Saccharomyces cerevisiae S288C: one gene and its partners. Changing the gene in region 3 together with the main gene of any one other region gives a genetic interaction. Each region holds a gene or a part of one and is shown on either strand. Other genes may lie near its edges. The genes, in order: USV1, INA1, DAL80 and MEP1.

What was found.
Region 1: mutations in DAL80 (region 3) and USV1 together harm fitness less than expected from each alone (positive genetic interaction), as found in Saccharomyces cerevisiae (one large-scale study listed by BioGRID).
Region 2: mutations in DAL80 (region 3) and INA1 together harm fitness more than expected from each alone (negative genetic interaction), as found in Saccharomyces cerevisiae (one large-scale study listed by BioGRID).
Region 4: of DAL80 (region 3) and MEP1, extra expression of one rescues a mutant of the other (dosage rescue), as found in Saccharomyces cerevisiae (one study listed by BioGRID).

What each region holds. Positions count from the first base shown.
Region 1 is NC_001148.4:111,319-119,396, forward strand, and holds USV1 (Usv1p), read left to right. Parts: upstream 1-3,993; coding exon 3,994-5,169; downstream 5,170-8,078. Other genes in the region: trifunctional fatty acid synthase subunit FAS2, read left to right, coding at 1-2,997; YPL229W (uncharacterized protein), read left to right, coding at 5,749-6,369; CET1 (polynucleotide 5'-phosphatase), read left to right, coding at 7,064-8,078. UniProt on the Saccharomyces cerevisiae protein: Transcription factor that participates in the transcriptional activation of glucose-repressed genes during exponential growth in non-fermentable carbon conditions. Also involved in salt-stress response.
Region 2 is NC_001144.5:944,611-953,985, forward strand, and holds INA1 (Ina1p), read left to right. Parts: upstream 1-6,545; coding exon 6,546-8,573; downstream 8,574-9,375. Other genes in the region: high-affinity Cu transporter CTR3, read left to right, coding at 2,643-3,368; BER1 (Ber1p), read left to right, coding at 3,758-4,582; YLR412C-A (uncharacterized protein), read right to left, coding at 5,657-5,863; PUN1 (Pun1p), read right to left, coding at 8,743-9,375.
Region 3 is NC_001143.9:502,245-508,207, reverse strand, and holds DAL80 (Dal80p), read right to left. Parts: upstream 1,311-5,963; coding exon 501-1,310; downstream 1-500. Other genes in the region: DID2 (Did2p), read right to left, coding at 1-269; YKR032W (uncharacterized protein), read right to left, coding at 1,377-1,691; SPO14 (phospholipase D), read left to right, coding at 1,813-5,963. UniProt on the Saccharomyces cerevisiae protein: Negative regulator of multiple nitrogen catabolic genes including the allantoin pathway genes.
Region 4 is NC_001139.9:728,723-737,519, forward strand, and holds MEP1 (ammonium permease MEP1), read right to left. Parts: upstream 4,206-8,797; coding exon 2,727-4,205; downstream 1-2,726. Other genes in the region: FG-nucleoporin NUP57, read right to left, coding at 1-949; Golgi transport complex subunit COG2, read right to left, coding at 1,311-2,099; YGR121W-A (uncharacterized protein), read left to right, coding at 4,690-4,905; YGR122W (uncharacterized protein), read left to right, coding at 5,213-6,421; PPT1 (protein serine/threonine phosphatase), read right to left, coding at 7,940-8,797. UniProt on the Saccharomyces cerevisiae protein: Transporter for ammonium (both charged and uncharged NH3 and NH4) to use as a nitrogen source. Can also transport methylamine. The affinity of MEP1 is about twenty times lower than that of MEP2. MEP3 has the lowest affinity.

The DNA of each region.
Region 1 (8,078 bases), on a different chromosome or scaffold from region 3:
AAGATGGGTGTTCGTACTTTCTCTCAAAAGGAAATGGCTTTCAACTTATTGGGTCTATTGACTCCAGAAGTCGTAGAATTGTGCCAAAAATCACCTGTTATGGCTGACTTGAATGGTGGTTTGCAATTTGTTCCTGAATTGAAGGAATTCACTGCTAAATTGCGTAAAGAGTTGGTTGAAACTTCTGAAGTTAGAAAGGCAGTTTCCATCGAAACTGCTTTGGAGCATAAGGTTGTCAATGGCAATAGCGCTGATGCTGCATATGCTCAAGTCGAAATTCAACCAAGAGCTAACATTCAACTGGACTTCCCAGAATTGAAACCATACAAACAGGTTAAACAAATTGCTCCCGCTGAGCTTGAAGGTTTGTTGGATTTGGAAAGAGTTATTGTAGTTACCGGTTTTGCTGAAGTCGGCCCATGGGGTTCGGCCAGAACAAGATGGGAAATGGAAGCTTTTGGTGAATTTTCGTTGGAAGGTTGCGTTGAAATGGCCTGGATTATGGGCTTCATTTCATACCATAACGGTAATTTGAAGGGTCGTCCATACACTGGTTGGGTTGATTCCAAAACAAAAGAACCAGTTGATGACAAGGACGTTAAGGCCAAGTATGAAACATCAATCCTAGAACACAGTGGTATCAGATTGATCGAACCAGAGTTATTCAATGGTTACAACCCAGAAAAGAAGGAAATGATTCAAGAAGTCATTGTCGAAGAAGACTTGGAACCATTTGAGGCTTCGAAGGAAACTGCCGAACAATTTAAACACCAACATGGTGACAAAGTGGATATCTTCGAAATCCCAGAAACAGGAGAGTACTCTGTTAAGTTACTAAAGGGTGCCACTTTATACATTCCAAAGGCTTTGAGATTTGACCGTTTGGTTGCAGGTCAAATTCCAACTGGTTGGAATGCTAAGACTTATGGTATCTCTGATGATATCATTTCTCAGGTTGACCCAATCACATTATTCGTTTTGGTCTCTGTTGTGGAAGCATTTATTGCATCTGGTATCACCGACCCATACGAAATGTACAAATACGTACATGTTTCTGAGGTTGGTAACTGTTCTGGTTCTGGTATGGGTGGTGTTTCTGCCTTACGTGGTATGTTTAAGGACCGTTTCAAGGATGAGCCTGTCCAAAATGATATTTTACAAGAATCATTTATCAACACCATGTCCGCTTGGGTTAATATGTTGTTGATTTCCTCATCTGGTCCAATCAAGACACCTGTTGGTGCCTGTGCCACATCCGTGGAATCTGTTGACATTGGTGTAGAAACCATCTTGTCTGGTAAGGCTAGAATCTGTATTGTCGGTGGTTACGATGATTTCCAAGAAGAAGGCTCCTTTGAGTTCGGTAACATGAAGGCCACTTCCAACACTTTGGAAGAATTTGAACATGGTCGTACCCCAGCGGAAATGTCCAGACCTGCCACCACTACCCGTAACGGTTTTATGGAAGCTCAAGGTGCTGGTATTCAAATCATCATGCAAGCTGATTTAGCTTTGAAGATGGGTGTGCCAATTTACGGTATTGTTGCCATGGCTGCTACCGCCACCGATAAGATTGGTAGATCTGTGCCAGCTCCAGGTAAGGGTATTTTAACCACTGCTCGTGAACACCACTCCAGTGTTAAGTATGCTTCACCAAACTTGAACATGAAGTACAGAAAGCGCCAATTGGTTACTCGTGAAGCTCAGATTAAAGATTGGGTAGAAAACGAATTGGAAGCTTTGAAGTTGGAGGCCGAAGAAATTCCAAGCGAAGACCAAAACGAGTTCTTACTTGAACGTACCAGAGAAATCCACAACGAAGCTGAAAGTCAATTGAGAGCTGCACAACAACAATGGGGTAACGACTTCTACAAGAGGGACCCACGTATTGCTCCATTGAGAGGAGCACTGGCTACTTACGGTTTAACTATTGATGACTTGGGTGTCGCTTCATTCCACGGTACATCCACAAAGGCTAATGACAAGAACGAATCTGCCACAATTAATGAAATGATGAAGCATTTGGGTAGATCTGAAGGTAATCCCGTCATTGGTGTTTTCCAAAAGTTCTTGACTGGTCATCCAAAGGGTGCTGCTGGTGCATGGATGATGAATGGTGCTTTGCAAATTCTAAACAGTGGTATTATTCCAGGTAACCGTAACGCTGATAACGTGGATAAGATCTTGGAGCAATTTGAATACGTCTTGTACCCATCCAAGACTTTAAAGACCGACGGTGTCAGAGCCGTGTCCATCACTTCTTTCGGTTTTGGTCAAAAGGGTGGTCAAGCTATTGTGGTTCATCCAGACTACTTATACGGTGCTATCACTGAAGACAGATACAACGAGTATGTCGCCAAGGTTAGTGCCAGAGAGAAAAGTGCCTACAAATTCTTCCATAATGGTATGATCTACAACAAGTTGTTCGTAAGTAAAGAGCATGCTCCATACACTGATGAATTGGAAGAGGATGTTTACTTGGACCCATTAGCCCGTGTATCTAAGGATAAGAAATCAGGCTCCTTGACTTTCAACTCTAAAAACATCCAAAGCAAGGACAGTTACATCAATGCTAACACCATTGAAACTGCCAAGATGATTGAAAACATGACCAAGGAGAAAGTCTCTAACGGTGGCGTCGGTGTAGATGTTGAATTAATCACTAGCATCAACGTTGAAAATGATACTTTTATCGAGCGCAATTTCACCCCGCAAGAAATAGAGTACTGCAGCGCGCAGCCTAGTGTGCAAAGCTCTTTCGCTGGGACATGGTCCGCCAAAGAGGCTGTTTTCAAGTCCTTAGGCGTCAAGTCCTTAGGCGGTGGTGCTGCATTGAAAGACATCGAAATCGTACGCGTTAACAAAAACGCTCCAGCCGTTGAACTGCACGGTAACGCCAAAAAGGCTGCCGAAGAAGCTGGTGTTACCGATGTGAAGGTATCTATTTCTCACGATGACCTCCAAGCTGTCGCGGTCGCCGTTTCTACTAAGAAATAGAGAGAGCACTACGTAGTCCCTCTTTTAATATGTAACGTGTCGCTTCTATTTATCAGACATAATAGTAATTACTTTGTTATTTTTCTATCGTTTCCTTACTTTAGCCTCTGATTTCGATCTGGCCTAATCATTGTGTACGTCTATAATCATATGGCCCTGAGCGTACACACCGTTCAATTCTTCTATTTGGTCGGCCCACACAAATTCGCGCGGGGGCATATTGACGCGTGGAAGAATAGAAGTCCGCGTAGCAGCTCTGGGGTAATTAGGCTTTTACGATATCGGCTGGCCCAGCACCGGTTTTTATTCCTCCCGTGGTTGTTGTCTCTACCGTGAGGAGGGGAAAGGGTCAGGGACGGCCGGTAGTTATGTTGTCTCAACGATTACTGCCATCTATTGTTTACACCAATCGCGTGGGGCAAGGGGCTGGAAGGCTGTGGTGTACAGAATAGGGTCTAATACCCGATGCGCGACGCTCCTGCGACTGGTTGTGTGAGCCACCCCTTGATCGCCTCTGCCAAATACTCAGGGAAGAGAAAAATCGCGAAGGTGGACGAGTGCCCTTAAAGAACCAGCATCCTCGATCGCCGCTGCCGTTCGCCCTGGCTTAGCGGTGGGAAGCATCCTTTGGCTTTCGAATTCTCCGCCGTTGAGTCCCCCTAAGGGCCTTATTTATCCCCTCTATTTTTTTTTAGAAAATGTTTTCTTTTTCAAGATTTGTTTGCTCCTTCACGGCTTCCCCCTTAACCGTTCAACAGTCTTCCGTATATAACAATCTCAATCCACTCTTATTGCCTATAATTTTGATTAATTCTTATTCATCCCGGCAGATAAAGTTTCGTCTTGTTTTGAAAGAGACAGGAGTTCTTGGCTGCAGTATTTTGCAACAGCTTCATTAACCATGTATGTAAAGAAAAAATCTGGAGCGACTTACTGGCTTAGCTTTTTTTACTAACACATAAATAATACTGTGATAAGATAAGAAAAAAACACGAAATGGAAAATACCACGAATCGTAATACTGCAGGCGTTCTTACGAGCAGCAATGGTAACTTTGCCACCAATAGTGTAGCGGCATCAACTCCGAAGAGGTCCAAAAGTGCTCGAAGGAAAACGTTCAAATGCACCGGATATGACGGTTGTACGATGTCCTTCACTAGAGCGGAACATCTTGCACGTCATATAAGAAAGCACACTGGTGAAAAGCCGTTCCAGTGTCCTGCATGTTTGAAATTCTTCAGTAGAGTTGATAATTTGAAACAGCATCGGGAATCGGTCCATGCACATAAAAACCACCATTCTACCAGCTCGCACCAGCGTAAGCCTTCCTCTTCATCTTTATCCTCCTCTTCTTCTGCATCTTCTTCGTCTTCTGCTTCATCATCTACATCATATAGTGATCCTTACAGGAAAACTAATATTAATAGCGGGAACATGCCGATGATGGCAGAAAACGAAAAAGCGCCCCAAATAATACATTCTTCGCCGGAGTTCATTACTAGCACGAGAAGCATCCCACCCATCTCTCCAAGGTCCATTTATAATACCCAACGACAGCAACAACACCAACAACAACAGCATCAACAGGCTCCCTATTATTTTCCTTCCCATCCAATCACTGATAGTTACTACCAGTATCCTCTTCCCAGTAATAATAACACCATCAATTATTTACCATCAGTAGATGTGCAGTATCCTTTGAATGTGAGCCCCTCCTCAACGAGCCATCCGGCCTCTGAGGTAATCATATCGTCCTTTCCTCCGAGGTCCATGCCAAGTACTTCCTTCAAATATAAAGATTCTGCCGACTTTCAAGCACGGACAACTATGAACAAATACAATATTAGACCAAGCAATATCAATGTCAATACTAGTAATATCAATAACCATCTTGATTCATTCTCCCCGCCGTTTTCTCCGTCAACGACAGTTGCTGAAGCAAAACCAATTATTTTACCACAGTATCAGCAGGCATTTAGCCAACCACCAAATGGAAATAAAAACAATAATATGTCTTCCTCGAAGAATGGCGGCAAAGGGGGAGAAAATTTCAAGAATACTGATGATCGCAATGATAATAATAACAAAAAGAGGTCGGAAACTTTATCAGAGTCTGATATTTCGGTCAACACCAATAAGAAAAGGCTTAGTGTTGATTACATATTGACTTGATCGAGGCAATCTGATCTAAGTTTCAAATATTCCGTAGAGTATAAATATCTTACAACTAATATAATTCTTAATATGCGCAAACAAATTATGGTGCGCATCTTTTTTTATTTTTATGTTTTGTTCCATACTAAATGCAGTTTATAAAATTTTTCAAATGAGTCAAGCTATGTATAATCAGTGCTACAAAAATGATAAGATGCAATTGCAAGAAAAAATCCCTTGCATAAAGGGCTTTCTGACCTCTTGCGTTGATCAACGAGAAATAACCGCAAAACTTAATTTTAAACTCCCGCGTCTGCTTTACACAGCCCACAGTAGCATCAAAAACTACGATGTAACACTAACGGTGGATTGTGAATACGGAACGAACAATCCTGCATCTTGACTTCAAAACTTGATCATATACACCTATACCGCCATGGTTATCTCGCCCTTACGCTCACCCGGACCCCCGTTAATTGCAATAATAAGAAAAAGAAAAGAAAGAAGCTTTTTATCTCATTTCACTGACAAGATGACGCTTTTTCCGATTTTAGCAGATAAACTATCACATATAACCACTTTTTTATATTACATGAAATGATGCCCTACAACACCCCTCCAAATATCCAAGAACCTATGAACTTCGCAAGCAGCAACCCCTTTGGTATTATTCCAGATGCGCTCAGTTTCCAGAATTTCAAATATGATCGTCTTCAGCAGCAGCAACAGCAGCAGCAACAGCAGCAACAAAATCGCACTGCGTCATCGTTACAGCAGCCGCAACAGCAACAACCAATAAGCCCGCCTTTGTTTTTAGTAGGGGCCGGTACCAGCGAAAACTCAAACCTTAACAAGAATGCCAACACTAGTACTATCCCTCCTTTACTCTTTAGCAGATCGTCTCAGCATTATGTTGTCCCAGATATAGACCACTCCTCCATAATATACAAGAACAACATCTGCAAATCTTTCAAAGATGACTTATTTTTCTGTCCAAGATCTTTACTTTCTCTCGAAGAACAACAAGCATGCGAGAAAATGGATAGGCTGACCGCTGAACAAATGTCATTGTATCATCAGAACACGCAATCCAGTTCTAATCCTGGTTCTATGTCTTCTTCACCTCCAAATTCTGCTTCTTCTATATTCAACTCTAGGCCGAAGTTCAATCCTTATACATCTCAAAGTTTTAATCCTTTGGAAAGTGTTCAAGAATGATCGCGATATGGACAAACACGTTGTTTTGATTTCTTTTTTGCATATTCCTCATTTGAACAAATCTTGTGTCCATGTTATGTTACGTTATGTTATATTATGTCAAGCCGTTTCATTTCCTACTTATTTTTAATTATCGGTTTCTTCTATTCATGTAGTTCACTATTCAATTAGTATATGTAGATAAAAGGAGAAGGGTTTTATCTGCAAACAGACGCAAGACGTATGTACTAAGCACTAAATACTCATATAACCATATTCTTTCAAAAATACATGCCATTTTTCTGTTTCATAATAATCCTGGAGGCTACAAGTATGGTGATATAATAAATCTTGAACCTTGTTTTACTGGAACTCCTAAAGTCAAGCCATACATAATGCCAGAAACAGGACCTGCGTAGATAACATATAACATGTACCAGTCATGATTACCCAACGTGCCGTTACAAATGATATATAGACCTACATTTTAGTTAGTTTCGTCGTAAGTTATGGTAATAAAGGAAAAGTCCTCTAATGAATCTATAATATAGGTTCACACAAATAAGAGTGATAATTAAAAGCGTATTCGACACTGAAAGATCTGCTGGGAATACTATACTGATATTTCCAAAATATCCCTTATAAATTGAATCTGGAATAGCACTTCTTTTTTTAAAAAACCTTGAATTGTTGGTAGCATTTCTATCCTCCCACTATGAGTTACACTGACAACCCTCCTCAAACAAAAAGAGCTTTATCGTTAGACGATCTGGTGAATCACGATGAAAATGAAAAGGTTAAATTACAAAAATTAAGTGAGGCGGCTAATGGCAGCAGACCTTTTGCCGAAAATTTAGAATCTGATATAAATCAAACGGAAACGGGCCAAGCTGCTCCGATTGACAATTACAAGGAGAGTACTGGTCATGGCTCGCACTCACAAAAACCTAAATCACGCAAGTCATCTAATGATGATGAAGAAACCGATACGGATGACGAAATGGGTGCAAGTGGAGAAATTAATTTTGATTCAGAAATGGACTTTGACTATGATAAACAACATAGAAATTTACTATCCAACGGATCACCTCCTATGAATGATGGTAGTGATGCCAATGCGAAGTTAGAAAAGCCTTCTGATGATTCAATTCATCAGAATAGCAAGAGTGATGAAGAACAGAGAATACCGAAACAAGGTAATGAAGGGAACATTGCCAGCAACTATATAACCCAAGTACCTCTGCAAAAGCAGAAGCAAACTGAGAAGAAGATAGCGGGAAATGCAGTAGGAAGCGTGGTCAAGAAGGAAGAAGAAGCGAATGCAGCTGTAGATAATATTTTTGAAGAGAAAGCTACTTTACAATCAAAAAAGAATAATATCAAGAGAGATTTGGAGGTTCTGAATGAAATATCTGCGTCTTCCAAGCCCAGTAAGTACAGGAATGTTCCAATTTGGGCACAAAAATGGAAACCTACTATCAAAGCTCTTCAAAGTATAAATGTGAAAGATCTCAAAATTGACCCATCTTTTTTAAACATTATTCCCGATGATGACTTAACAAAGTCAGTACAGGACTGGGTTTATGCTACAATATACTCAATTGCTCCTGAACTAAGATCCTTCATTGAGTTAGAAATGAAATTTGGTGTTATTATTGATGCGAAAGGCCCAGATCGTGTAAATCCACCAGTTTCTTCACAATGTGTTTTCACTGAGCTTGATGCCCATC
Region 2 (9,375 bases), on a different chromosome or scaffold from region 3:
GAGTTAATTATGGACTTGAAAACATCAAAACTACACGTTTGGGTGGTACGGAGGAACCATATATTCAACGAAATAGTGATACAAATATCAAATACAGGACTACAAATAGTACGCCCTCAATAGATGACCGTTCGTCCAACAGTGAATCCACTACTCCCATCATCTCCATAGAAACAAAGGCTGTATGTGATAATACACCCTCCATTGATACGGATCCGCCAGAATATCGATCTTCTGACCATGCGACTCCTAATATAATGCCTGACAAATCCTCAAAAAATGTTACGGCTGATTCTATTCTTGACGACCTCCCACTTCCTGACTTAACCCATAAATCTCCTACGGACACTTCTGATGTTTCAAAAGATATTCCACACATACACTCTCGTCAGACTAATTCCAGTTTGGGTGGTATGGATGATTCTAATGTTCTGACTACTACCAAAAGTAAGAAAAGATCATTAGAAGATAATGAAACTGAAATTGAGGTATCCCGAGACACATGGAATAATAAGAATATGAGAAGTCTGGAACCACCAAGATCGAAGAAACGCATAAATTTAATTGCAGCAATAAAAGGAGTGAAATCGATCAAACCAGTTCGAACGACCTTAAGATATGATGAAGCAATTACATATAATAAAGACAACAAAGAAAAAGACAGATATGTTGAAGCTTATCATAAAGAAATTAGCCAACTATTGAAAATGAACACTTGGGATACAAACAAATATTATGATAGAAATGACATAGATCCTAAAAAAGTAATAAACTCAATGTTTATATTTAACAAGAAACGTGATGGTACACACAAAGCTAGATTTGTTGCAAGAGGCGACATTCAACACCCCGATACATATGATTCTGATATGCAATCCAATACCGTACATCACTATGCACTGATGACGTCACTGTCAATCGCATTAGACAACGACTATTATATCACACAGCTGGACATATCCTCTGCTTACTTATATGCTGATATCAAAGAAGAATTATACATAAGACCTCCACCACATTTAGGTTTGAATGATAAATTACTACGTTTGAGAAAATCACTCTATGGTTTGAAACAAAGTGGTGCAAACTGGTATGAAACCATTAAATCATATTTAATAAATTGTTGCGACATGCAAGAAGTTCGCGGATGGTCATGCGTATTTAAGAATAGTCAAGTAACAATTTGCTTATTCGTTGATGATATGATATTATTCAGCAAAGACTTAAATGCAAATAAGAAAATCATAACAACACTCAAGAAACAATACGATACAAAGATAATAAATCTGGGTGAAAGAGATAACGAAATTCAGTACGACATACTTGGATTAGAGATCAAATATCAAAGAAGCAAGTACATGAAATTAGGTATGGAAAAATCCTTGACAGAAAAATTACCCAAACTAAACGTACCTTTGAACCCAAAAGGAAAGAAACTTAGAGCTCCAGGTCAACCAGGTCATTATATAGACCAGGATGAACTAGAAATAGATGAAGATGAATACAAAGAGAAGGTACATGAAATGCAAAAGTTGATTGGTCTAGCTTCATATGTTGGATATAAATTTAGATTTGACTTACTATACTACATCAACACACTTGCTCAACATATACTATTCCCCTCTAGACAAGTTTTAGACATGACATATGAGTTAATACAATTCATGTGGGACACTAGAGATAAACAATTAATATGGCACAAAAACAAACCTACCAAGCCAGATAATAAACTAGTCGCAATAAGCGATGCTTCATATGGTAACCAACCATATTACAAGTCACAAATTGGTAACATTTTCCTACTCAACGGAAAAGTGATTGGAGGAAAGTCGACAAAGGCTTCGTTAACATGCACTTCAACTACAGAAGCAGAAATACACGCAGTCAGTGAAGCTATACCGCTATTGAATAACCTCAGTCACCTTGTGCAAGAACTTAACAAGAAACCAATTATTAAAGGCTTACTTACTGATAGTAGATCAACGATCAGTATAATTAAGTCTACAAATGAAGAGAAATTTAGAAACAGATTTTTTGGCACAAAGGCAATGAGACTTAGAGATGAAGTATCAGGTAATAATTTATACGTATACTACATCGAGACCAAGAAGAACATTGCTGATGTGATGACAAAACCTCTTCCGATAAAAACATTTAAACTATTAACAAACAAATGGATTCATTAGATCTATTACATTATGGGTGGTATGTTGGAATAAAAATCAACTATCATCTACTAACTAGTATTTACGTTACTAGTATATTATCATATACGGTGTTAGAAGATGACGCAAATGATGAGAAATAGTCATCTAAATTAGTGGAAGCTGAAACGCAAGGATTGATAATGTAATAGGATCAATGAATATTAACATATAAAATGATGATAATAATATTTATAGAATTGTGTAGAATTGCAGATTCCCTTTTATGGATTCCTAAATCCTCGAGGAGAACTTCTAGTATATCTACATACCTAATATTATTGCCTTATTAAAAATGGAATCCCAACAATTACATCAAAATCCACATTCTCTTCACTTCTCCGATAGACTTGTAATTTATCTTATTTCATTTCCTAACACTTTGATCGAAGAAGAGGGATAACAACAGACGAAAACACATTTAAGGGCTATACAAAGATGAATATGGGAGGCAGTAGCAGCACTGCTGCCAAAAAAGCGACTTGTAAAATATCGATGTTATGGAATTGGTATACCATTGACACCTGCTTCATTGCCAGATCTTGGAGAAATGACACCAAAGGAAAATTTGCTGGTTCTTGCATCGGCTGTTTTGCGCTTGTGGTGGTAGCTCAATGGCTTACTCGTTTTTCAAGGCAATTTGACGTAGAGCTATTAAAAAGACAGAAAATAAAGCATTTAGCTAGTTACTCGCCAGAGGAGTACGTTGTCAAATGTGGAGAAGAGGATGCTAAATCTGATATAGAAGAACTACAAGGCTTTTACAACGAACCAAGCTGGAAAACAACTTTAATTTCCTTACAAAAAAGTTTCATTTATAGTTTTTACGTTTGGGGTCCAAGGAGATTGAACGAGCCAGAAGACGACCTGTTAAAGAAGGTCCTATCATGCTGTACATTAATAACGCCAGTGGATTTGTACCCAACTTTTTTGGATCACATGATAAGAGTTACTATTTTCGTATTACAGTGGGGGTTATCTTATATCATCATGCTGCTGTTCATGTACTATAACGGCTATATCATTATTAGTTGTTTAATAGGTGCTATCGTTGGTCGTTTCATATTTTGCTATGAACCTCTAGGCTCATTGGGTGCTAATGGATCAGCCCAGGGTACAGTGAGTTATGATAAAGAGAGTGATGATCGCAAATGCTGCTTGTAGAAAGACAAAAATGAATAGAGGAAAGCCGAGAGGTTTGTTTCAAAAATTGACGCCTTCCTCATTTTTTTCATAATTAGCTGGTAAAAGTTACTATTTGTAACGACTGCTAAATAACAAATAATTATTCGTGTAAAAATAAATAGCTAATACCACCAGGTGTTCATATTCCATGACTGCATATTTGGGAAACGAGACGGTTTGAACATCCTTAGTTGATGTAAAACTATAATAAAAGCTCTATGGGAAGTAAACTATCTGCGGGTCGGGTAAGGAATGATGCTTGCTCGACGTGTAGCGATGAAAAAAGTGAAAACTTATTTGAACTCTAGAAAACTGCTAAGATCCTGAACTGATACCGAAGTTAATGACCTTGACCGGTCTTCTGCTGTATGGATTTTAAAGCAAGTGGGACAAAGTTTAAGAAAACTGGCAAGAAGGTAGTGCCTGCTAAAGCGTTTGAAGAAATTGTTCAGACAAATAGAGATGTTCTGAAAAAATCAGCATTCCTCTCAGATTTACTTGAAAATTTACAACCGCACCTCAATAACATTAAGAAAATACGATGTGTTGCAATTGGAAATTTCAAGGAGGATTTTCCTGCGACGTACCAATTCGCTCTTCTCCTAGAGATTACTGATTATATAAAAAGTGAGGATGAAAGGGATGTCGTTGTTTCCCTGTATGATCCAATATTTACTAAAGAAGAGATACAGTACTTGAAAAGTTTAGGAAGCAAATGGCTGATAGAGGAAGAATTTTCAGAGAACGATGCAATTGATTATGAATCGGTATTATATTTCCTTCCCCATGCTCCTTTGGATTTAACTGAGAACATACTATCGTCACAGCGACCACACTTATGGCTGGCAAATAATATGATATCACACACCGATAGATACACCAAAGCAAAACTTTGTGAAAACTATCCTAATTTAAGCAAGCTAGTTCATTACTTGCAGACTAACGCTCCGCCAGAAGTTAAAAAAGCACATGATGTAGATGGTTTTGCAACATTCATTCCAAAGAGAAAAAGAAAAAACAGAAACAACTCCTCTAAACTCAAGGTCACACCATCTGATATAGACTATGATTCAATAGCACCGAAGTTTAAGTCCTGCCAAATACTCACCGATTTTGATGAAGGAAAGTATTTGAAGGAAAAACCCTGGATCAATTCCTTCTCTGACTTGACGTTACATGCTATAGAGTACTAACATATCATTCACTACATAGTACTTTATAACTAAACTGTAACCTTTCAGGGCATCGTAACCTGACGCTTTACCATCAATAACGACACGAGACCGCTTTATCTATGATACTGGAACAATCAACATGATTGTTATAAATGTACTCGACAGGATCATGAAAGGATACCAACTTAGTTGCCGGTTCATTGAAATGGAAAGCTCAAGAACGTATACTGAAAGAGAGCGACGTCTACTTTGCCCACAAAAATCTACTCTCTGAATTGAATAGTATTTAGAGATTGCATAATTCAAGCCCTCCTCGAGGAAAGGATATAAATGAAAATACCGTTTTTCCTGCTGATGGTTATCGTCCCTGTCAAGGATACTTCTCGGACTCGAACAACGTTACAGCTCAACTTAAAGAAGGCTAAATACGACAAGGGCGCTTGCCCTAAGAGGAACTGTTTCTAAGTTCTAACGAGTGCCTGCGAAGATCGGTTTTTTTTAACTTCGCGGGCGAATTGATAAATAAAGTTCTTCTTGCAATTTTTTAAGATCAAGGTTGGGGCAAAAAGGACGCAAACGAATGGTTGGGTTAAGAAAGTGGAAAGACCCAAACCTGAAGTTCATTTAGTTCTTGGCGGAATGAATCATTCGAACGGCGCAATACGCTCGTCAAAGAAGGAGGTATGATTTATGACGGTTTGTGGGTAGCCCTCTAAACACGTGGAGAGTAACCTTTTCTGTTTAGCGATCCTAGAACTGCGAACAATGGTAGCTATTCGCTTACTCAACAATATTGTTCTTGATTAATGCATTCAAATATGTAACTTCGTCCCTCATATAAGCGTCTGACGCGTCGTGAAAATTTACCCTCTCAAGAAAATACAAGAGATTACGTAAAATTAGAAACCAAAAGATATGAGTGGAACAGACACATATCACCCATATTTCCTTTTCACGTAAGAAAACTTAAGTACTAGTGCGGTGCCTGCGTTAGTGCTTGTCTTTAGGTCAAACAGGTCATCTTGACCAACTTAGCTTATAATAAGAATGATAATCGATTACTCTAAATAGCATTCTTTCATTTGCGGCATCTTATAACCCACACACCGCATTTAGGACCCGTTTTTTTTCTTTTTTTTTTTGTTGAAAAAATTCAACAGTTCCTATTTTTTTCTTTTCATTCTTTTTTTTTGCCTTGCCTTCGTTTCGAGAATTCTTTTTCTTTTTCTTTAGGTAAGGGACCTTCTCAGCTGAGGCACGGTGGGGTTTGTAATAGTGTCCATTCTGGCACAAATGCATAAGTGATGCTAAAATAGTGATACGTCTAAACAAAACGGTTTGGATGCCTAGCAAATAGTAAAAAGACTTGAATATATCACTTTTATCACTATGTAAAAAAACTGAGTTATATTATTAAGTTTTTTTTGAAATGTTCCCGTTTGACGTGTATTTAGTACAGTATGTTCCGTGGATACTGTTTAGGTGCATTTAAGCGCTCCAGAACTCTCCTTTAAATTCCTGCAGCACTCCGTCAGTTGCTTCGTAAATCCGCCTGGATACCGCCTTGAAGATTAAAGTTCCCCTCAGTACTCGTTTAGCTTGAATCCACCGCATTATGGCCTGGTAAATTCCCTAGTTGCTTTTTTCTATACGGCGTCGTCCCTGGAAAAAAAAAACTTGCCTACAGATCTTAGTAGACAAATTTAACTACGTCAATCTATTGTTCTGCTTAAAAAAAAAGTTGAAATTGTTAAATCCTCAACAAACTTATCGCTTTTCAAGCTGCTGCAATCATAGATCTTACACTTCTACACAGAATTTTTTTTTCCTGTAAAAAGAACGACAAAATATATAAACCTTTGACAATCTAGCTGCATTTACTCACATTAAGCCTTGAGATTTTCATTTACTTCATAATAGCTTGTAGATGCGATGCTGATACAGTAAAATAAAAATTCAGTAATACAGTCAAATTATTGCGATGAATTTTAAAATACTCCTCCCGATTTGTGCTTTATTGACACTTACAACATTTCTGTTGACCATTATTGCAACTGCGGGTTCTACCTCAAATTATAAGCCAATAACGAACATTTATATCGGTGATGCTGATATATCAAAAATCAACGTTACAAAAGTTATGCCACAAGTTGGCCCAATTTTGACTGTGTTAGGTTCTGCTCTAACCGCTCCAAATACAACGGTGGATACCATCTTCGGCGCTCTTAAGGCAATCGCTTCTACCGAAGCCTTGTCTCCTTTACTGCACTTGTTGTCTAATGCTGCTAACACTTCAGCCACATTATCATCTTTGACACAGTTGGCTCCAATGGCTTTGCTAGGAACCAATACCGCTACTACCACGACCTTCTCCGCTCTTGATGAGTTATTGACTACCTCTAAAAACACAACCGAACTCTTGGATGGGTTTAGCACATTGATGTCATCTATGTCAACCAACACTTCTTCTACTTCGGCTTCCTTAGAAAATACTGTTCTAACCCTATTAGTGGATTCGACCAATCCTATAGGCACTACTGAGTCTTTGATCACTTTAAATAATATGACCACAGAAGAAAAGACAAAATTGTCGCCTGTATTCGAGTTATTCGCAAGTTCCAAGAACATTACTGCCACATGCGATGCGTTAGAAACCATAATGAACTCTACCATTCCAACTTCAACGGTCTCCTCATTGTTTTCTAGTCTAAAAACCAGTCTTGCGGAAGGTGGCAATGCTACTGAAACTATTATGCAATTAGGCTCCCTCGTTCCTTCGAGTTTAAAACCAGCTGTCCAAGCTGTTGTTACTCTGTTTGATGAAACTACATCTCAAAATGTAACATTATCCGTATTGAGCACTATGATTGCCGAAAACATTACCCAATCATCTTCCGCTAAAGCTGCCATGGGTGCTTTGACTGACTTGTTGAATTACACTACAAACCAAACAGAGCTGCTAACATCTGTCGAAAGTTTGGCCCTCTCTAAAGAAGCCGCTTCCTCTACTAACCAATTGGTGGCACTTGATGAAATCCTTTCTGCAAGTGCTAACGCATCCACAGTTGTTTCCATAATCCCTACTTTGGAATCCCAATTGGCCAATAACACCGTATTACTTAAGTACGTTCCATACTTGTTCAGCCTATTAGCTGCGTCAAGCGACCCCGTGTCAAGTTTCTCTTCTCTGGTTAATATCACCAAATGGGCAGAAACTAATGCCGCTACATTTATGCCCATGTTGAAAATTTTAAACTCTGCTGTAAACATGACAACTATCACACCAGAACAACTCAAGGAAATGACTCCTTCTATCCTTGAATATCTACACATCCCTGTCATATACCGTTTGTCCATTTTCACAATGTGTCGTGCTCACTTAAACAGAACAATGTACTCGTGTAGCAAGTCACACGCTGTTCAAAACATGGATTTCCGGTCGATTGTTTACAACAACATTGAAGGCTCGGACTTTAAACCTTATATGGATGCCCTGAACATCGGTAAGGACGATTTGCATTTAGATGGTGAATTACAAGACAGACAACACATGTATGTCCCAGCAGTGAAAGCAGCTTTAGCTATGAACTTAATGTGCATAATCACATCCTTCTTCTTAATGGTATTCTTGTTGCTACTAAGTAGACGTTCCGTGGTGAGTCAAAAATTATGGTTGGCATTGGGCTTTATTTCCTGTTGGATATGTATTTTCAGCGGGTTGGGAAGCACAATCTTTAGCGTCATCCTTAATATGATGAAATCCGGCTCCAAGAAGGACAATTACGATGTCATTATTTCTGGCTCTTCTCCATTTTATGGCCTAATGTGGTCTGGATTTGTATTTGCCGTCCTTGTATTTCTCTGCATTGCATACTGCTGGTGGAGCAGCAGAAAGGGAGCTGCCATCGTGGAAGCTGAGAAAGCTGTTCAAGAAAGTGACTCTACTACCTCAAGAATCATTGAAGAACACGAAAGCCCCATTGATGCTGAAAAAAACTTTGCAAGGTAAAATAATAAAAAGAAGATCATGCAACATCACCCCGTAAATTTTTTCAATTCTCCATCCTTTTAATTTTCTTCATTATAATTTTCTGAATTGTATATAGACAATATATTTTAATCATATTTAATATGAAACGGAACACAAAAATTAATTAATAACCTTGCCTTTTTCAAATTCAAATCAATGGTTTTTCCTCAATTGGAGCGTTCGCATAGATGACGGTGGGCCTCGATCTCACGCTACACCATAGAATGAAATTCAGTAATGCTCCAACGACAGCCCCCCACATCAAACCCTGGTAGTTCCTACCAATGCTCATTGAAATACCGTAATCACTATAGTTATGCTTTAGGATGTATTTGATGTATGAGTAAGTGCCCAAACACGAACCTATACTGACTAATAGGGCGGCAAAGGCGAAAAATGAAAAAAAGGCACCAAACCACGTTAGCGGCCTTATGTGGATGATCCAGCGCAATACGTTGAACACTAGATTCACAAAGGTCAAGACAATACCAATAAGAATGGTAATGAACATACACTTGACCAAATTGTTGTAGTATGTCATTTTACTTTTTAGTTTTTCGGGCAAAACAACACTGGCCACGGAATCCATAAGCTCCAGAGCCTCATTGTTGTTGATATTGTCATACACTAATGACGATAGGTTAAAATTCTGGATACCGTGAGGCGAAGAACATGATTGGATGTTATGCGAGGAGTCCACTGTACAGTACGACCAAAGCCCTATATTTATATATGAGGGCAGGCCCAACGAAGATAGCGTAGCAGAACTCAAAGAAGGGAG
Region 3 (5,963 bases):
CTCATCGTGACGGCGGTTTGTACCCTTGATGCGACCGAATCCACCCGTGATGCCAACTTCAACAGTTGTAATCTTTCATTTTTCTTTCTTATAGCATTGGATGCATATATACGAGATATATCTTCATTTTCATTAAGAGCACGTTTGAGCTTATTAGTTTCCTGTTTTTCTTCCTTTGAGGCTTTATTGGCTTGCTTTTGTAATTGTTTTGATGTAAACTTTAGTTGGAAAAGAGTGTTTTCCAAACCTGCTGCAGAATTACGTGACATTTCTCAGTGCGATGTCTGACTTCCTATACTTTCAAAGTAGCTCACATCTCATCAAACTGCTTTCACATTGATTCGTTTTCATTCTTATCATTTCTTTAGGGGCAATTTTCCAGCACCAGATAAATGGCAGTGTGTTACCCGTTCGCGTAAAAATAAGTGTCACTAAATCATATTAAATTTTATATACTATATCCTGTTATATTTATACTGTCATGAACGCTACATCCTTTCTTAATGTTGTGGGTGAGATTGTACTGAAGCTCTGGAGTGTAGTTCCACTTCCAGTTGCTTGCATTTTTCGTTCAGTTGGAATATGTGCTTTTTGTATAGGTCTGTCACCAACTCCAATTCGCTTATCTTGGTCTTCAATTTGATTACCTCCTCCTCATTATGTAGCTTCCAAGTTAGTTCTATTTCTGGTACAGCGGAATCTGAAAAAGGTGAGGGTTCTAATAATGTTGACAAATTAGGCAGCCTTGTCAGCTCTATATTTGACGTGTATATATCTGAACCGTTGATCTGATAGAGGTAGTTTTTCCCACTAGGTTCGCAGGGGTCCAAAGAAAATTTTCCCCGCTGCGTGGAGCACTCCTTTGTGTTGGGAACGGTTTCCTTTGGTTTTAACAGTGGCTTAATGGACCCGCTCACCATAAACTTTTCCAGAATAGAAACCTTCGGATTATTCGTAGGTAATGAACCACCACCAGTTGTAAGCAGTCTCTTCTTTCTCTTGAATATTTTATTTGGGTCGTTAGAATGGGTATTGGCATTAGTGTTCACATTGTTGTTATTCAGCTTTTTCCTATTTCTTGACTTAATGGTGTCCGTCTTCAAGCTGATAGGCCTTGGTTCCCCGTGCAACTTCAGGAAGAGGCCACATGCATTACAGAGAACAGTACCGTGTTCATCTCTTCTCCATAGGGGCGTTTTGACAGTGAAACAATTCTGGCACGTGGGGTGGTCCTCTCCGTCACAATCATCCACTCCAGCAGCAGCTGAAAGTGTAGGCGAGGGCAGCTTCAACGAATCACTAAGCACCATTCTCTTATATATAATATGATATAATATAATGTAATATAGTATGACGGCAGATAAACAATATCCCGCTCAGTAATACAAAATTACTACTGTCTCAGAAAGAATAACCAAGAGAAAATCGAAAAAACAGTAACTGTATCCAAATTCAAGCTGACGCTGGATGTATATATATACTAAGCAACACTTGCTGATTACAGTCCAGGGATGCCGCCACAATGCAGCGAGATAAGCCCAGGATCGGTTTCTATCAAGCATTCTTTGCTGTTTGATTAGCACTAGTGATAAGTGATAAGGTGGAAACTCGTTATCAACGACAAACGGGTGAAGATTGCTACAGCCCTTTGGGTTGAACAAAAGACACAAACATAACGATGAATACGCCATGGGGAAAGATTTAGTGGGAAATTAGCAGGACATTATAGGCACGACCGGTCACTGATAATTCACACGACGCATTGAGAGGCACGTACGCAAGAAGAAAAGGTAGGATAGATAAACAAGGGTGATGTCTAACGTGTCAACAGCGTCTGGAACTCACTTCGCTCCACCTCAGGCAGATAGATCGGTGACTGAAGAAGTAGATAGAGTAAATTCGAGACCAGATGAGTTAGAAAACCAAGAAGTATTGCGGCAATTACCTGAGAATGGCAATCTGACTAGCAGTTTACAAAGAGAAAAACGAAGAACTCCCAACGGCAAGGAGGCGGAGAGGAAGCATGCATTGCCCAAATCCTTTGTAGATAGAAACCTGAGTGATGTGTCACCGAACCACTCATTAGACCATATTATGCACTCTAATGAACATGATCCTCGTCGAGGTTCTGATGAGGAAAATATGCACCGGCTCTACAACAATCTCCATAGCAGTAACAATAATGTTCATTCTAAGCGGAATTCTAAAAGAGAGGAAGAAAGAGCCCCTCAAAGGCGTTCTTCTTCTGTAGCTTACACCCAACAGCAGTTCAATGGCTGGAAGAAAGAGTTTGGCCACGCTTTTAAGAAAATCTCTGCTATTGGTAGACTGAAATCCAGCGTAAATTCTCCTACACCGGCTGGAAGCGGCCATCGTCATAACCAGCACCAGCATCAACAAGTAAACGAAGAAGATTTGTACACACAAAGACTAGCCTCTGATTTATTAGATTCGTTATTGGCAGGATGCCCGGCCTCATTGTTCGCAAGCACGCAATTTCTGAGAGACGAACATGGGAAGAGAAGGGCTCCTCTGCTATTAGCTAAACTAGATGTAAGAGTGTCTCCCTTGAAAAATGACAACAACATTTTGGATATTACCAATAGCAACCATAACCATCGTGGTAACAACAACAACAATACTGGCGAGAATTCTGATAGGAGACCCTCTATTCCAAGGAGCTCCAGCATTATAAGCATTTCTTCGAATGTGGCGGAATTTATGTATAGCAGGAACGAAAACTCTTTATTTAGAATACACTTGGAATATGGGATTGATGAAGACAGGCTCAAATGGTCTATTATAAGAAGTTATAAAGATATCAAATCACTACATCACAAATTGAAAATCGTCGCGTTCCAACAACTCACTATAAGCAAGCTTTATAGTGATAACAACAGATATCATTCGTTACAACTTCCGCATTTCCCCCATTATAAAGAAATGGTTAAAGAAAGAAATGTAATGGAGAAAAAAGCAGAAAATAAACCATCCTCTGCAGCCTCAGCTCCTCATACATCGGAAAATAACAATAACGATAATGGCAGCAACATTACATCGTTAGAAACTTTATCATCTTCTGAAATATCTGAGTTTAATATAGATAACGTCAAAATGAAACATTTACAAGACTTAATTGACGAACCTGACGATTTCTCCCAACCGATACATTTGAGGCTAGAAAGGTATTTGAGACTACTGAACATTGCATTATGTTTGAGACCTCATGCAAATAGATTGTTTGAATTTTACGAATTATCTCCCTTAGGCAATTTATTAAGTCGTGAAAGTGGGTTCCAGGGCAAACAGGGGTATTTAGTAATTAGATCTACTGCCAAGGCCCAAGGTTGGAGAGTTTCTCATTTTGGTAAACATGCGTTTAAAGACATGATCGACAGACATACTACCAAATGGTTCCTGGTAAGAAATTCTTACCTAACTTACGTGTCGGATCTTTCTTCGACAACTCCTTTAGACGTATTCTTAATAGATTGGAAATTTAAGGTTAGATTTTCTGGGAACAAGAATAACATACTTGATAACGAAAACGAGATCAACTGGATCATTCATGATCCCAATTTAGAAATAAATGACGAACTAGAAGAGTTCGGTATTGAAAATGATGCCAATAATATCCTAGACAAGAATGGAAAATCGAAAACACACCAAAAGAAGTCCAATATATCTTCAAAACTATTATTATTGACCCTAGAAAACAGTGAAAGGAAACTGAAAATTATTTGCAAATCAGAGAGTTCGTTAAAGCAATGGATGAGTTCAATTATCAAAATGTCTACCTCAACACCTTGGTCGAAACCAAATAGATTTGGTAGTTTCGCACCTGTAAGAACAAATTCGTTTTGCAAATTTTTGGTAGATGGGCGTGATTATTTTTGGTCGTTAAGCGAGGCCCTCTTAATGGCAAAGGATGTCATATATATCCATGATTGGTGGCTATCCCCTGAATTATACTTGCGACGTCCGGTGAAAGGCAACCAGGGATTTAGAATTGATCGTATGCTGAAAAGTTGTGCAGAAAAAGGTATCAAAATTTTTATTGTGATTTATAGGAATGTGGGGAATATTGTTGGGACAGATAGTCTTTGGACCAAGCATTCTATGCTAAATTTACATCCAAATATACATATCATAAGGTCTCCCAATCAATGGCTACAAAATACATATTTTTGGGCACACCACGAGAAGTTTGTCGTTATTGATGAAACATTTGCATTTATTGGTGGTACAGATTTATGTTATGGTAGATATGATACTTTTGAACACGTTCTACGAGATGATGCAGAATCTTTATTAGATCAAAATTTTCCTGGTAAGGATTATTCAAATGCCAGAATTGCTGATTTTCATGATTTAGATAAACCATTCGAATCAATGTATGATAGAAAAGTCATTCCGAGGATGCCATGGCATGATGTGCAAATGATGACTTTGGGTGAGCCAGCAAGAGACTTAGCCCGACATTTTGTTCAAAGATGGAATTACTTATTGAGAGCTAAGAGACCTAGTAGGTTAACTCCATTACTAACCCCGCCTTCAGATTTAACTGCTGAAGAATTGAAGAGTTTGCCGATGTTCGAAATTCTACGCGAAAAATCGACTTGTGAAACTCAAATACTTAGAAGTGCTGGGAACTGGTCTCTTGGGCTAAAGGAAACGGAATGCTCAATTCAAAATGCTTACCTGAAGTTAATTGAACAAAGTGAACACTTTATTTATATTGAGAATCAATTCTTCATTACATCAACTGTCTGGAACGGGACTTGCGTTTTGAATAAAATTGGTGATGCTCTCGTTGATAGGATAGTCAAAGCTAATCAGGAGAAAAAACCTTGGAAAGCCTTTATTCTTATCCCACTAATGCCAGGATTCGATTCTCCAGTAGATACTGCAGAAGCCTCAAGTCTTCGTTTAATTATGCAATTCCAATATCAATCAATTTCAAGAGGTGAACATTCTACATTTAGTAAACTGAAGAAACTAAATATTGACCCAGCTCAATATATTCAGTTCTTTTCACTAAGAAAATGGTCGACTTTTGCGCCTAATGAAAGATTAATCACCGAGCAGCTCTACGTTCATGCTAAAATTCTGATTGCTGATGACAGAAGATGTATTATAGGGTCTGCTAATATTAACGAAAGATCACAACTGGGTAATAGAGATAGTGAGGTGGCAATTCTTATTAGAGACACCGACTTGATAAAGACCAAAATGAATGGTGACGATTACTACGCGGGAAAATTTCCTTGGGAATTAAGGCAGCGATTAATGAGGGAACATTTAGGTTGTGATGTAGATCTTGTTGAGTTTGTTGAAAAGAAATTTGAAAGGTTTGAAAAGTTTGCTGCAAAGAATTATGAAAAACTTCATACCCTAAGTAAGGAGGGAGATAGTGGTAACAATTGGAGCGATCGAGAAATGATCGATTCCGCTATGATTGAGCTAGGTTATCGTGAAATATTTGGTTGTAAATTTAGCCCTCAATGGAAGAGTGGTCATGGAAACAGTGTTGATGATGGAAGCACTCAGTGTGGCATAAATGAAAAAGAAGTGGGAAGAGAAGATGAAAACGTTTATGAAAAATTCTTCAATTCTGTGGACTACGGTAAATCATCACGTAAGAGAACGCCTCTGCCCAAACATAATTTTGCATCTTTAGGGCTAACATTCAACCACAGGGCAGGAATTGAAAATGTCGGTATACGAGACCACAAAGTCTTAAGTACTGATCCAAGATTAAGAAAGAATGATGAACATAAAAAAGAGGTTGATGGCTACGGTCCCGATTGTTGGAAAAAGGAATCCAACAAAAAATTCAAGGCCGATGCAACTGAACAGCTAAAGGAGTGGGCATTGAACTCATTGGCCTCGAAAGTTCTTGACGATAAAGAAATGATAAAATCAGAAATTCCAGAAGGATTTTCAAATTATTTGCCCAATGA
Region 4 (8,797 bases), on a different chromosome or scaffold from region 3:
TCACTTTATTGTACACGAAAGCCCTGAGTTTTGTTTTCGTTGTGTTTGGATCCCACGATTCTTTACATTTCAACACCTGTTCTTGAATTTGCTGCGGATAATTAGACAGCTGCTGTTGTTGAGCAATTGCTTGCGTTTGTTGCAACGGTACTTGAATTTGCTGCTGCTGCTGCTGCTGTAAATTAGATCCAGTTGAAGGCTTAGACCAAGCAAATGATGGTTGTGTGGATACCGTGTTTCCAAGTCCGGGCGCAGTGTTTGTTTGAGGCTGCTGGGATTGGCCAAAAAGGCCACCTCCCCCAAGGGTATTGTTATTCTGGGTGCCGCTTCCAAACAGGCCACCATTAGTTGTTGATCCTTGTGGCTTACTGCCAAATAGGCCTCCCGTAGTCGCTGTAGTATTCTGAGGCTTTGCACCAAAAAGTCCGCCTGCATTCATGTTAGATGTGTTTTGAGTGCTATTGCCGCCCATCAGTGAGCCAGTGGATCCTACTTTATTACCAAATAAACCCCCACTTGTGGTACTATTGTTTTGTGCACTGTTGCCGAAAAGACCTCCCGTTGTGGTAGTTGGCTTGTTTCCAAATAACCCACCTCCAATGGTGGATTGTTGAGGTTGTGCTGTTTGTTGCCCAAATAAACCTGTTCCAGTAGCTGTAGTTCCTGAAGCGGTAGTGCTTGAACTTCCTAGGCTGCCAAGAGCAGGCTTATTACCGAAAAGGCCTCCACCTGTACTACTTTGTTGGTTACTTCCAAAAGTATTTGTGGCCTGATTTGCACCAAACCCTCCGGTAGTAGCCGTCCCAGAATTTGGCTGGCTGCCCCCAAAACCAAATCCTGAAGCCGAAGGTTGAGTATTTGTATTGTTATTGTTTTGTCCAAATGAAAAACCGGTCGAACCAGCTGGTTTATTTCCGAACCCGTTATTACTACCGCTGAAACCAAACATGTGATCAATTGGTCAACAAGGTATGTCTTTTGTTACTAACGAGCGTTTCTGGAATAGTTTGAACGGGATAATCCTCGATTTAGTCTTTCAGTCCCTTTGGCAAAAAGTTGTTTACATCGACTTGGAGAGTTGGACTTTTGCTTTTACTCATTTCAAGAAACAAAATTTTTGAAAATAATCCATTTCGCGTACGTTCAAAATGATATAATTACACATTGGCAACAATTATTTAGATTATATCACGTAGCTATTGTACTATTTTCCTATGAGAGAACTGCTGTAGCCATGTGGGATGATCATGCGGGCAAAACTAAAATACTTATATCAGTCCACAATTGAAGTATGGAAAGTTTTCTCCCAACTATGCCGTTTTTATAATGGAGACTAATGTCAAAGATAGGTTTTGCAGGCTTGATGGGTTTTCAAGACACTTTTCGGTCAAGATTTTCAGTGAGATTTGAAATTCTTGCAGAAGGTCTTGATAGTCATTGCGCAGATGATGAATATATGGTGAATTGGAATCAGCACAAGACTCCAATATTCGACGAGATGCCGTAATCAACTTATACAACTGCTCAATCAGGCCAGAGCAAATTTCTTCTTCTAATGGTTCTATACCGCACATTTCATGGAGAGATTTACTCAATCTCTTTCCAAGTGAGAGCGCTTCTGTCAATTGTGAATGGTTACGCAGAGAGCCGTAAATCTCATCTAACTTCTTTAGGTATTCCAGGACATCCTTTATAATTTCTTGTGTATTGCTGATGTCATCCTTTATCAAATGATCTAATTGAGTCATAAATTTTTGAAGATCACTTTGTGTTTTCTCTAAATTTATTAGAGTTTCATTTTCTTCATCTGTATAGGTATTGGAAAAAGTCAGATAGTCGTCGTAGTTACTTCTTATTTGTTCTAATAATGTTTGTACCATTTTTTGTGAAAGTCCAGACAAATCTCTAATAAGGGAATCGAGAGGAAGGTAATGGAAATTTTTCTGCACTAGGAATCTGTCGACATCAAAGTTATCAACATCGGTCCCATTAGTCTCGGATTCACGATACTTCTCTATTTCTGTTGCGAATAACTCTTTCGATATTTCTGCGGTTACCGGTAAATCTAAGTCTAGTTCATCATCATTCAAAAAGTCCATTTCGCCCTGAGAGAAATTGCGACTATGACTGTTGACCATTCCCTTTTCATATTATTTATTATTCTATATTTTTTCTAAGCTTCATTTTCTTGTCCTGTTGAAAATTCCATGAAATCGAGGTAAAGGCCCGAGCAATAATAATTTTAATTTAAATAAGGCACCCTCATAAAAACGGTCTTACATCCCATTATACCTAAATACGTATTTTTTGGATCTAGAGTGTTAACTATTTCACGATTACCGGTTGGTGTACTCAAATAATTAAAATGTTGAGGACTAAGAGAGCCTATATTTTCTCGAGAACATAGTCAAAAAGACTCCATGGCCAAGTTGGTTAAGGCGTGCGACTGTTAATCGCAAGATCGTGAGTTCAACCCTCACTGGGGTCGTTTTTTGCTTGAAATGAGCAACATTGGAGGAAGATTTGTGAAATCCTCCAGTTTTCTTTTTTTCCTCTAGGTTTTAACGAATGTGATAAAAGATAACTAAATAGGAGGGTCATTAAAATGCTAGGTAACGTATAAACAATGCACATCTATACATATATGAAGGTTTGAATAAGGAATAAATAACACGTGCTCATAAAAAATCAAGAGAGCCAAGCTGGAAACAAAATCAATAAACCGTTTACCTATTGGCAGGATCTTCTTGATGAATTGGTAGGATCTTTTCGGATTGAATCATTTCTCCATTCCCATCCGAGGAACTATTAGTACCGCTACTGCTACGTTCAGCGGCCAAATGAGCGTTGTTCACCCGGTGATTTACATCAGAGCGTTGTGAATCTTCGTCTACACCCCATAGATAGTAATCTCTTCTCACTTCCACATAATCGTACGCAAATTCGCCAATTTGATCTTCGTCCATACCCGCCTCCTCTGCCTCTTCTGATATTCTTAGCCTCATACCGGGTATGTAGCCGAGCACAAAGCAGATTATTGCAGTTACAGCAGCAGTGTACCCAATGGATGCGGCAATGTAAGCGATCTGCTTATACATTTGCTTGTAATTGTGAGTTACCCAGCCGCCCTCGTGCTCTGTAGTGCCATCCATACCAATGACCCAGTCTGCTCCAAAAAGGGCATTGAAAATTAGTCCTATTACGCCTGCAACCCCGTGCTCAGCTAGAATGTCCATGGCATCATCTACTTTAGCGTAGTATTTCAACTTCGTCGCAAAGTTACACACTACCCCCGCCACAATGCCTTGAATAAGTGAACCGTAAAGGGTTATACAGCCTGAGCTTGGCGTTGCAGCCACCAGCCCAGAAATGATACCGGAGCACAGACCAACTGTCGACCATTTCTTCTCCGATCTGTAATCCAGAAGACACCACGTCATCCCACCAGTAATGGCACTGAGACATGTATTCATGAATGCATAAACTGACCTCAAATTTGGGGATAATGAGGATGCAGAATTAAATAGCAGCCAGCCAAACCACAGTATGGATGTGCCTAGAGTGACCAATGAAACATTATGAGGCCTGAAATTTATCAGTAACTTTTCATTTCTTTTGCCCAAAAACCAAGAGTAAACAAACCCGGAAACAGCGCTTAATATTTCAATGTTGCCGCCGCCTGCCCAATCGAGGACTCCCCATTGGTATGCCCAACCACCTGGTGACCAAATCCAATACGTCACTGGACAATATCCAATGGTAGCTAGAATAAAGAGAAAAACCATGTGCGGTAGCAGCCTGCCTCTTTCGGCAGTGGCGCCAGCGATAATACTTAAGTTGACGCACGAAAACATCATTTGGAAGGTTGCATACGCGAGCTCAGGGTAGGCATCTTCATCGAATTTTTTTCCGTACACGTTTCTAAAGCCAAACGAATCTAGATTCCCAATGAATTTATTATTCGGAGCGGACTTTGAAAAAGCTAGAGAGTAACCCCAGAAATACCATTGCAGTATACCGACCAAAGTCGCCATTAATACAACCCAGATTAGTGCTAGTGCAGACTTCCTTCTTGCCAATCCGGAGTACAAGAATCCCAATCCGGGCACCATAAAAAATACTAGGGCGGCACCTAATATCATGAAGGCCACAGTGGGGCCATCGTAGGTTTCAGTCGTTAAAGGCCCTGTAGTTCGACTCTCCATAGTTTCTACAGTATAAGAATCCGTACTGCAGTTATGTTTACTAAAATAATTCTCTGATCATAAGCCTAAACAAGTTACAAGAGCGCCTATATAAATAAACTACCTTTTAAGTATCTTATTCTGGAACTGCATTATCGACTGGTAAGCAGAAGGTGCTATAGAAGCCTACACCACTTTTCCGATTTTTTTTTTTTTTTTTTTTCAGGAAAAACATCTTCCATCAATACTTTGTCATTTCTTTCTTCTTCTCTTCTGTGCTTACATAGCCATAAGATGTCACACAAGGGTGTCTGTAGCAATTGTGAATCTTATCGTTATCGCAATCTCTGAGATGTCTCATCCAATAAGAGGGGCGCGTGTCCGCAGAGATAAGCAACCAGGGCCTTTTCTTTTGCACTCAGCCTGACAAAGGGAGGGGAGGCGCAAAACAAAGTTCGTGGCAAAGGACAACCGTAGAAGAGCATCGCCATGTTGATTTTGAAGAATGTCAAGACACAAGTACAAGTTATGGATGTGCATCGCAAAGGGAAAAAGGGGAGTGGGGGAAAGAAATACGTTTGTCCCTAAGTGCTCTTATGCTCCCTTTTGTGCTTCAGAGGTTCTTGATCAATTATTAAGAGGGGATAACTCTATCGTATATAACTTTTATCTTAAAAATGGTTCAGGTAGTGTTTATATAGGCTCAGTCTTTCTTATCTGAAAAAAAACAGTACGGGATTTTTTGTGCGCTCGAATAGTGCCGAACTCAATTACGGGCTGTGGTAACACTTGAGATCTTGTCTTCCCTTACAAATAGCTCTAGGGGTGTTGCATGTAGCCGCAGTAACATCTTGAAGAAGTGTACACTTTTGAGGGGACGCCATTGTGTTACGTTCTATGTATTGAATAGTATAGTTTTCAATTTTCCTGCGCTGACGTAAACCGGCTGTAAGAAAAAACGTATAATCGAGAACTGGTTATTCAAAGGTTGAACTTTAAAGTGAAAAGTAGCTCTAACAAAATAAATCATGCGTGAGAATGCAATGTCTACAAAGAAACTTCCCTATAAATTATCTGGCAGCAGCAAAATAACAACTTCCATACCTAATGATTTAATCATACTGCGAAATAATTGCATAAATTCACTGAACAGTTCCTCGTCCAAAGCTGACAGCATTACATGTATAGATACGTGGCTAAAATACACAGAGGGTTTGTTAACCCACAGGTACGAAGCTAATAATGACGCCGCTCTCATTGAAGAGGAGATAGCGATTGCGTTAATCAATGTTGCCGTATTTTATCAAGACATCGGTATTGAAACATTGTACAGAGCTTATGAATCTTCACAAGCGTCAAATAACTTATGGACAACAAGCGGGACCTATCTAAAGAGAGGTCTAGGCTTAATCTGCTTTCTTGGAAAGAATTTTCAAATAAACACAGCTAATGATTGCCAAAAGATGCAGGTTCTCAACGTCCTTAATCAGCTATCATTAGAGTTTCAATTGCTGCAACAACTAGGGATTGTCGTTTTAGCACTGTCTAAACTAAGATCAAAAATCAGCAAGGATGCTGTTGCGGACCTTGAGCCTCAAGAATTGGAAGAGCTAGGCAAGTCCAGTGTCTTTTACGCTAAGCTTTGTATTGGATCTTATAGCACTGCTTCGCAATGCCAAGGAGGCCGTATAGTGGACGCATTATTTATGAATTATTTACAGAGTTTGACCTATCTCTTCCTATCAATCAACCAATACAACAATGATGAGTGCGGAATTGCCATTGGGATGCTCCAAGAATCGATCAAAAAACTGTTAAATATAGTACCCAATTCGCAACTAAAAGAGTTGGACATTTTATCCTCAACCGATATTACAAAGAAGAGGGATCTTATAAAGATGTCGTTTAAAAGGAAAATACATGGGTCTACTTTAAAAAACCAACGGATATTTGAGAAGAAGGTGCCATTTTCATCCAAAGCGTACATGATGCCGTTATTGAAATCTTCATTAGACGATTTTGTTATCCCACTAACGATACTGTTAAGGTACAGATACCAGACAACCAATGAGAATTATTCCTTCAAAACGGTTGAAACCGACGTTTCTAAATTGAAGGAGCTTTTCCCCAGGGGAAAATCGTCAGATATTGAAGGCACTGTATGGAGTTTCCAAGATGGACATCTTACATTTGCAGACTCAAATAATGCAACCCACAATTGCGGTAATTATTTTTGAATTGAATCAAACGCCGTTCGAACGTAGAGGTCAATAGTCTATATGAATAATATTTTTAAGGTCTACTCTACTATGAATTTTGCATAAAAATATACACATGTTAGAATAAGGAAACCACTATCTACTAATCACGGCTAACCACTGCAAACAATGGCATTATTTACTAATATAATTATGTGTGTTGGAGTGAGAATCAATTATAGTCTACCGATCTGGTGCTCTTGTCAGCAGTATATTATTTTTGAGAAGAACTTTCCTTTTTTTTTTATGTATACGTAATGATCAGAATTTTTTAATAAAGATGTACTTCAAAAGCTTTTTTTAATATTCATAGTAGAATTTAGTGAATAATTTGATAATTGTTGGGCTTCCATTGTTGGTAAAGGCTATTATATTAGTTTTGGAATAAAAATTCAACTATCGTCTATCAACTAGTAGTCATACTACCAGTATATTATCATATACGGTGTTAGATGGTGACATAGGTTATGAGAAGCTGTCATCGAAGTTAGAGGAAGCTGAAGTGCAAGGATTGATAATGTAATAGGATAATGAAACATATAAAACCGAATGAGAAATAATCGTAATTGTATTACATAGGGACACCAATTCCATTTTGAGGATTCCTATATCCTCGAGGAGAACTTTTAGTATATTTTCTGTACTAATATTATAGCTTTTACCGATAATTGAATCCTAACAGTAATCTCAAAATTCACCAATTTCCCACAACTATCGCAAAATTCACCCATATTCCAATCTTGTGCGCTTCATGGCGATTATTTCATTATGTTTGGTTAATAAAATAAACATAATCTTGCATTAGAGATAGTTAAGTTGTTGTATCTCAAAATGAGATACGTCAGTATGACAATACGTCATCCTAAACGTTCATAAAACACATATGAAACAACCTTATAACAAAACGAACAACATGAGACAAAACCCGTCCTTCCCTAGCTGAACTACCCAAAAGTATAAATGCCTGAACAATTAGTTTAGATCCGAGATTCCGCGCTTCCACCACTTAGTATGATTCATATTTTATATAATATATAAGATAAGTAACATTCCGTGAATTAATCTGATAAACTGTTTTGACAACTGGTTACTTCCCTAAGACTGTTTATATTAGGATTGTCAAGACACTCCGGTATTACTCGAGCCCGTAATTCAACACAAGTGTAATTTCAATAGCTCGCGTGGCGTAATGGCAACGCGTCTGACTTCTAATCAGAAGATTATGGGTTCGACCCCCATCGTGAGTGTTGTTTTTTTAAATAATTTCCTGGCTGAAGGGAATAATGTTGTTCAACAACGAAGATATTTCTTATTTTTCTAAGAGGTATTATGATATGATACATGACAATAAACATTATGAAATTTTTTGTGAAAGATGTATAAATTTATAAAAAAAAAAAAAAAGTTACTTCCTCCACTTCGTTAGCTCATATTAGTTTCTTTTATTCCCAGACTTTCTGCTTTTGATAATAATCTAGCAAAATAGAAAAGGCATGACTATAAACCAAAACCACCATTAGAATAGGCCATTGGTTTTATATCTGGGTGCTCAACAGCTTCGAATGTCTCAATTATTAGATTTTGGTCGTCATTCCTGCCAGCCTGTAAAATACCATGGCCTGGTACAACATGAATAACACCCCCAAGATTACCTTGGCTATCACAATAGTTTGGAGCACTGAAAACTGTCATTAATTTACCCTTCTGCTCGAATTGCACACCACCCATTCTTAACTCGTGAGATCTAAAAATCTTGCGCAATTTGTTGTTTCTTAGAAATCTATCTGTAATGTCGGGTCCAAAAGCATGTCCTAAACCACGCTGAGAAGGACCCATCCCGTTGGCTTCTTGTGGGTCCGCCCATAGAAGTTCCATAAAGGCGCCATCTCTAGGTGGTTGGGCAAATCTATCAATATTCTTGAAATCAGACAAAGTTGCTGAAGGATCACTTGGTAAACCACCATGCATTACAAGGTAATCATTATTAATTAAGGTAGCCAATGGAAGGCTCTCAAAACTTTGTGCAAACATGTTAAATATCCTTTGTGAATATTTGTATTTACACTCATCTTCAAACCCATAGATTTTGTTCATATTATCACTCTCATGATTACCTCTGTTCAAAAAGAAATTATTTGGATGTAATATTTTCAAACAGTAGAATAATAGTGCAACTTCACACGACCAAGAACCACGGTCGACAAAATCACCATTGAATAGATAAGTGTGCTTAGGACCTACTTTACCAAACTTGCGAAATAAATTCAAAACATCATAAAATTGGCCATGCGTATCACCACATACTGATATCTTAACATCAGGAGTAGAGTTATTTTCTAGTTCTACCATAGATGG